Linked DNA regions of Canis lupus familiaris. Each later gene encodes a partner of the first gene's protein in a complex. Links are inferred from orthologs where the notes say so. Each region holds a gene or a part of one and is shown on either strand. Other genes may lie near its edges. The genes, in order: ARHGEF6 and DCP1A.

The links.
Region 2: ARHGEF6 (region 1) and DCP1A share a complex: the UniProt entries of both Homo sapiens proteins name them as parts of the cytoplasmic complex. The link is inferred for Canis lupus familiaris from reciprocal best matches to the Homo sapiens genes ARHGEF6 and DCP1A.

Annotation. Positions count from the first base shown.
Region 1 is NC_049260.1:108,084,441-108,088,355, reverse strand, and holds the start of ARHGEF6 (rho guanine nucleotide exchange factor 6), read left to right. Parts: upstream 1-1,210; 5' UTR 1,211-1,492; coding exon 1,493-1,657; intron 1,658-2,860; coding exon 2,861-2,944; intron 2,945-3,915. UniProt on the Homo sapiens protein: Acts as a RAC1 guanine nucleotide exchange factor (GEF).
Region 2 is NC_049241.1:36,940,383-36,944,197, reverse strand, and holds part of DCP1A (mRNA-decapping enzyme 1A), read right to left. Parts: intron 1,228-3,815; coding exon 475-1,227; intron 1-474. UniProt on the Homo sapiens protein: Necessary for the degradation of mRNAs, both in normal mRNA turnover and in nonsense-mediated mRNA decay. Removes the 7-methyl guanine cap structure from mRNA molecules, yielding a 5'-phosphorylated mRNA fragment and 7m-GDP.

The DNA.
Region 1 (3,915 bases):
TTATCTAAGCTGATCATTTGGTAGTAGATGTCTAGAGCTGTGTTGAGAAGGATTCGGAAGCTTAGCAGGATCCCCTACTTGAGGAGGGGCAGTGACTGATGGGGAGGAGCATGCATTTGCCAGTTTAAGGCTATGCTGTTCTCATTGGTCTTCTTACAAGTTTCCCAATAGTATGACTATTTCAACTGGTTGTGAAAAGATCTCTTGTTTTAGACCAGGTTTGTTTTTTTTCAGAGCAGCATTTTTAAAAAAGGATTTTATTTATTTATTTGAGAAAGAGAGAGAGACAGCAAGAGAGAGTACAAGTGGGGGGTGGGTGGGGAGAGGGACGGAGAAGCAGACTCCCCACTGAGCAGGGAGCCCGACATGGGGCTCAATCCCAGGACCCTGGGATCATGACCCGAGCTGAAGGCAGATGCTTAACCAACTGAGCCACCCAGGCGCCCCTAGAGCACCATTTTTAACGCAAAGTGTTTCTTGTTGGGGAAGCATCAACTTTCCAGACTATAGTATAGACAGAGGACAAGTGCTCTTTTGTTCTCAAAAGTTCTGTTTTCAAGTGTTTTATACCCTCTCATAGGACTGTGTCAGAGCCTTTGCTAGGGGTACTGCAGCTGGATTGTGTAGTGGAACCAGGTCCAGAAAAAGAATTGCTAAAGAATGCAAGTAAACAGGATGTCAGATGTTATCCTTAGCCTATTTCCCTAAACATAGCTTTTTGGCTGCAAAGTAAAATGCCATTCTTCTAGCTTCTGCTTGTACACAGTGATGGCTGACAGCAGGCACCGTCTTCATTTGCTTGGCACGTTATCACCATGCAATTCAACGTGTTTTACAAGGGATGATCATGACACACCATCTCTGTGAGACAGTATGAGGACATCCGGCCATTTCTTGGAAGAATTTTCTCAGCCTACCTTCTTCATGAGCCTCAGATCTATGTGACCTAAGAGCCAGTTGGCATCTTCCTCCTGACAGCAGCCAGATTTTCACTGGGGCTAGACTATTTATTGACAGTGTTTCCCCAGACTGGCCCATGAGTGTCTCATTGCCAAAGTCCCCTGTGTTTTCCAAGAGCACTTGCTTCATTCTCTCTCCTCCCTCCCCAGCATCCTCCTCACTTCCTTCCCTTACAGCTTCTTGCACTGTTGGGTTTTTTTTTTGGGGGGGGGGGCTGTGTTTATGTGTGTTTCTTCTTCTTTTTTTTTTAACCCTGGTAAGTTAGCTTTGCAGGCTTGGAAAACAAAATCCAGCATTATCCAAAGATTTTTATTCTTTCTATTTCTACATCTTTTAAGTGTGATCTCTGTGGCTTTAAGATCCTGTAATTGGAGTGGGGTCGCGTTATCTAAGAAAGTCGTTGAAACGCTTTGCTCTGCAAGCCCCAGAAGAGAACTTATAAAAACGGAAGGCAGTAGCAGATGCAATTACGGATGTGGCTTAGTCCTTGCAGCTGCCCTGGGGAGCTGTGCAGAGCATACAGTCCTCAGCGATGAATCCAGAAGAGCGAATCGTGACATGGCTTATATCCTTGGGAGTTTTAGATTCCCCCAAAAAGACCATCTGTGATCCAGAGGAGTTCTTGAAGTCCTCGCTGAAAAATGGGGTAGTGCTGTGCAAACTGATCAACAGACTTAGGCCTGGCTCTCTAGAAAAGGTAAGGGAAATGGGCATTCTCTTTAGGATTGCTTACCACCAGAGAGCAGCAATAATGTAACCCTTGAGATGTTCTGTTGCCTGGATCATGGGACTCTGCCACTTGAATCTCTTCCTAGGAGTTTGGCATTCTGTCTTGTTTTTGTAGCTTGAAAAGCTCAGAAAATGAAAGGTTATCCGTTAGCACTTGGCCCCCAAATATAGTAAAATCATGATACAATGTTGGTGCCAGGGGACAAGGAGAAAATACTCGTATCATTTGCTCTGTCATAGAGATATGTGTTATTACTCTCTGTGTACCAAGGGCATATTTTGAACTTGGGGTATATATGAATTGGTGTAATAACGGGATGATTTATAATAGATATTGATGGTGTTTATTGACAGTTTGACTAAAATCAATGTTGATTTGCTTCTCAAAGAAATAAAATATCCTTTGAAACAGAGGCAACCAGAAGAAATAATCCAAAATGTCAGAAAAGGTTTGTTAAAACAATAGAAACCAGATATATGTTTTGTATGCAACATGTGTTCAAAGTGAAACTAACCTTACTCTCTTTTAAAAAGCCAAAAGTTTTAATGTTGGAAATCCATATTCACAAGGATAGATAATTTCTAAAGTAGGCACTTTAAGTTTAAAGGTTGAATCCTACAGCTTTCTTAAGGTTAGCAGGGGACGTGACTATGAGCATAACGTGAGTGCTTTTGCCTTCTTGTACTGGTTGGTATTTTTATTGAGCAAATTGGTTTACTTATAATTTCTCTGAAACTTGAAAAACAGTGCTGAAGTGGTAGTGCAACATGCAGAACTGTAACCAAATGTAACAAACAGTAAATGGGAGGATAGAGTGTTAATAAATTATCATGGGGAGGAGGGAGCAAGAAAATAACTTAAAAGCAAGAACCAAGGTCAAAACACAGCCTGGATCTAATTTGCTGTCTCCGCACTTTGGCTGAAGGCTAAAAAATAGTTTGTCAGTAGAGATAGGTGGTTTGGGACTGGAAGTTTGGTGACATTTGAAACAGACCGACCGTTTAGACTTTTACATCACTTCCTCCAGTGGTTATTTCTCTTCCTGGATTGACAGCAATGTGGCCCCTGCCTTAAAAAGCTTACCTATCTAGTTATCAGAAAATGAGGACTATGGTGTATGCTTGGCATGCGATAACAGGGTTCAAGTGACATTTGGCTATGTTTTTCTAGTACTGTTTGGAGCCCCAAACCGAAGCTGACTGCCTCAACAACATCAGTGACTTCCTGAAAGGATGTGCAGCCCTTCAAGTGGAGGTAAGCCCACCCGGGATGCCTTGCCTTGCTAGTGAAAATGGTGTTGTACTAAAAGTACTGGGTTGTTTCTGACTGTTACACAGGGGTAGCATTTTATGGAGATCATGGTTAAGATTGGTGGTCTCCAGTGGTGGCTGGTTAGTTTGTCTTTTCCAGAAACCAGTTCCAAAACAAAATGAAACAAAACAAAATCAAAACTCAGAATATGCTATTTTTTAATACAGCATCCGTGCCCTGAAAGCAGGCTTCCAGTGACAAAGGCTGTGTAATGTGCCTCCCTCCTGGGAGGAACCAAAAGCAGGCCATTGGCCGCTCTAGGGGGTCATAGTAATCCCCCCCCTCCGAGTTGGGAAGAGATGAAAGTATACTGTCACTTTTTTCCTATTAACACTTTAGAACAGAGGCCATGAAAAGCCAAGAGAGCCTGGCCCTGTGGTAGAAATTGTATATTAACTTACATTGCACTATTTTATATCATATAGATCCTTACAGTATATTTGGGGGTATTGCTGCAAAGGAGGTGATACTTTTGTCTGAGTGTCCAATTATGTAACTTCTTTGTTCCTCAGTGTGTGTGTGTGTGTGTGTGTGTGTGTGTGTGTGTATTACATCTTTATTTGCAGAAGCAAAATCATGGAAACAACATCCATAACTAGCAATGGGAGAATAGTCAAATAAATTATAGTACATTCAAATGATGCTGAAGTCTTATACATTCATTTAAAAAAGATTGTAGGTTTTTAAAATGGAAGTATAGTTATATTGATATTAATATTAGTTGATATTAATATTAACTAATATTATATTAGTTTTAGATGTACAATGTGTGATTCAACATTCTATACATTACACAGTGCCCACCATAGTAAGTGTAGCTACCATTTGTCACCATACAATGTTACTTCAATATTATTCTTTAAAGATTTATTTATTTATTTATTTATTTATTTATTTATTTATTTATTTATAGA
Region 2 (3,815 bases), on another chromosome or scaffold:
CTACTGAGCCTTCAGATTTTAGCTAAACATGAGCTTCCTTAGATGGTTTTACTTGACCCCATATCTCCAAATCTGGGATACTGTTATGGCACCCCAAGTGTGTCTGGCCCAAGGTGGGCACTCAGTGAGTACCAAGGGAGCTGGGGATAATCTGGATCTATGGTCTGAGTCACATGCGGACTCCTGGACTTGTCACGCAGAAACAAACAAAAACCCCTACAATGGACGCTGTGCTGGGAAAATACCAGTATTGTGTCTTGAGTTGTATCGGTTGAGAGATCTGGGACAGTGGAACTGAGTTACAACACCACATACCAATGATCTGGCTATTCACTACAGGGCTCCTTACCTCCCATCTTCTGGCCCTGGATACCTAACAAGCATCTCTTTGAAGGGACTGCCTAGTGGCAGGCAACATCAAGGCCTCTGTAGTTTCACCCACCCAGTCAGAGCCACCCAGCCTCCTGCCAGTACCTGAAGGGGAGCAAGCACCATGTTGCTCAGGGATGCTGAGGCTCGCGCTGCTGCGGTCTTCGGGGGAGGCTCTATGAAGCTCTCAGGAGTGGCCAGCTGGCCAGCTGCTGGGGAAAAGCTGGGTGCCAAGGCACCTTTCCCAAGTGATTGGGTCTGTATTTGGTCATGCTGTGGGGTCAACCTGAGTTTCTGGAGAAGATCGACACTTGGGAGGGATGTACCAGCTGTGTTTGTCACGCTCAGTGGGGCCCTGAAGGGGCTCTGGGTGGCAGTCAGATTGGTGTGGCTCAGCTCAGGGACTGGCTGGGTCAGGAGCGGAGACCGCTGTCTTGGCGTGGTCTTCACTGCCTGCATGATGGTGGCGTTCCGGGGTAAGCTGGGGGGAACCTGTGCTGTGGGAGCGTCTGCTGGTAGAGTGGGACTGAGCACGGGGCGCAGGGGGACGGCATAGCCTGGGGCCTGTTTTTCACCGGACTGTGTGATGGAGGCAGGAGTGATGAGCACTGGGGCAGGGACCTCAGGTGGGACTGGGTGGTGCGCAGCAGGACGGACACCCAGGTTTTCTGATGGAGGGACTCCTCCTGACTGTTCAAAGGAAAATGGTAGCAGTGAGCTGGACTCCTTCTGGGAGGCATCTCCTGGCAGCTTCTCCACTTCTTCTGAATCTAGACCCATGACGGCTGGCTGTTCCTTTGGCAAAGAGGTTCCAAATAATTCTTCCACTGTCAGATGTTTGTGTCCAGATGGAGCAGACTGAAAAAACAAATCAAACCACCCAATGGAAGAAATCTCTTACAAACCAGTGTAACCAAACTTCTTTCCCATCAACCAAAACAGTCTGCAGAAGGAAGGATGGACGGAGTTGGAAAATAAGGACCCAGAACAAACCAAAGATGTGCTAGGGATTAAGGACAAATCATCTCCCTCAGCTGGTGGGCAGAAATTTGTATTCATAATAAAATCCAAGTTTTAGGGACTCCCAGTAGAGTGTTAGAATTCCCCCTTTTCCTTGGCAAATGGATGTAAGGTAAAGGGGCAAGTATCTTATTACAATGTTAATAGTACTTAATTGCCCTATGTCAGTAACACATGTAAGGAAACAATCCTCAAGAGAACAAAGGGACCAAATGCTGAGTATTTCTACTTTTATTTTCATATTTCATAGTTCTTTTTTTAAAGATTTTTAATTTATTTAAAAATAAATTTAACACAGAGAGAGAGACAGAGACACAGGCAGAGGGAGAAGCAGGCTCCTCAGAGGGAGCCCGATGTGGGACTCAATCCCAGAACCCCAGGATCATGCCCTGAGCCAAGGACAGACACTCAGCCACTGAGCCACACCCAGGCATCCCTTATATTTCATAGTTCTTGATAAAAAGCTAGGCATTGCACCTTAAGGACTAGGTCTTGGGCAGCCTGGGTGGCTCAGCAGTTTAGTGCCGCCTTCAGCCCAGGGCGTGATCCTGGAGCCCTGGGATCGAGTCCCGCATTGGGCTCCCAGCATGGAGCCTGCTTCTCCCTCTGCCTGTGTCTCTGCCTCTCTCTCACTCTCTCTGTCTCTCATGAATAAATAAATAAAATCTTTAAAAAGAAAAAAAAAAGGGACAGGTCTTAAGTAAAAGAAAACAAATTTAACTATTTTGTAAACAGCAGGCCATTCCTCCTTTCTACTATCAAATCAAAGAATCCTCAAGAAAAAACAAATCATGTTAAGTCTGAAAATGTTAAGTTTCCATCTATTGCAGTGATCTGGCTTATTGATGCCACTGCAATGGTTTGAAGGAGAAATATTTATGCTTTTTACTCCTGAGCTTTTCTATACCTTCACTTCAAGCACTATGGCCATATTCACCTTAACAAGGTGCCAGGGCCTGTTGTGACCTGGGCCCAAAGGACATGGTAGGAAGTAACAAAGACTTTGACAGAGCTTATGTTCTAGTGGGAGACTAACCTAAGTACTTTGAAAACACAAGCAGTCTCTACATGTTTTGTTTTTTTAAAGTAGGCACCACACCCAGCATGGAGCCCAATACAGAGCTTGAACTTACAACCCTGAGAGCAAGTCCTGAGTTGAGATCAAGAGTTGGACGCTAAACCAACTGAGCCATCGAGGTGCCCCTTGATATACGGGACTACTAAAGTATGTGGACTGCTTAGTTGCTCAGATACATGTTTACATGGAAAAAGACAAGTCACTGAATGAAACACACAGTTTTCAGTACATCAGAAGGCCTATAAAGGTCTGAAACTACACTGCATCTGAAGCAGAAGAATGAAAGCAGCATGGTATGACATTTCTGCAGGAAAAGCACAGATTTTCCCAGGGAAATGTTTTATTCGTGAGATCAACAATTACAGGGTTCCCTTGCTATCTGAAAGCGGATTATTCCTAGGAAATGTTCAAAAGCCAAAATGATAGAAAGTGAAGCAGCAATTACTATTACTTCATAGGGAAAATTTCTAGACTCCAAAGTAACTTCTCTTCGGCTTTTTAAAAATATATTTTATTTATTTGCAAGAAAGAATGAGCAAGGGGGGAGGGACAGAGGGAAAGGGAAAATATCTCAAACAGACTCCGTGCTCAGCATGGAGCCCAACATGGGGCTCTATCCCATGACCCCAAGATCATGACCTGAGCTGAAACCAAGTGCTCAACCAACTGAGCACTCAGGTGCCCATCTCTTTGGCTTTTCTGAGACCTCAGAACACACCTTGCTAATAGATGCACAGAATAAAAAGAGACAAAGCATAGGTGCTCACAGACCCAAGTCAAAACTGTCGCGGCCTGCTGCTGGGATGCTGAGTGGTTCCCAGGGCAGGGGCTCAGCAGACCACTCTCTCTGAGCAGGGTACCACTGTCACACAAACACTAGATGCTATTTTTGCTTTTTATCTTTTTTCATTAAAGCAAAAGTCCTCTTTGGATTTCTTTTGGTCAGCAAGACAGGTACTGATACAGGTCTTCCCTAAAAGCAGAAGTGGACTTCATTTGAACTTTTGAAAAGGAGGGTGGGTGGGACAACTGTGTGTGGTTTAGCAGATGCCCTGGGTACAGTGCTGGGATGGGCAGGGTGAGGGAAGATGCAGCTCACTGGCAACAGGTTCTCAGGGGGAGGGTGTGAGGGATCCCCTTTGTTGAGGAGGGACATGGAGGAAAGGAGGCCAGCACCCAGGATGGAGGATGCAGGGGAGCTTGCTTATGAGGGACGGAAAGGTAAGTGAGTACCACTGTGTAGTCTCTCGTGTCACCTGTTAGGTGAGAAGGGCTGGCAGGGCTGAGGAGAATGTAGATGGGGCAAAGTAACAGCAGTGGAGAAGAGGCAGAAGCCTCCTCCAGTTAT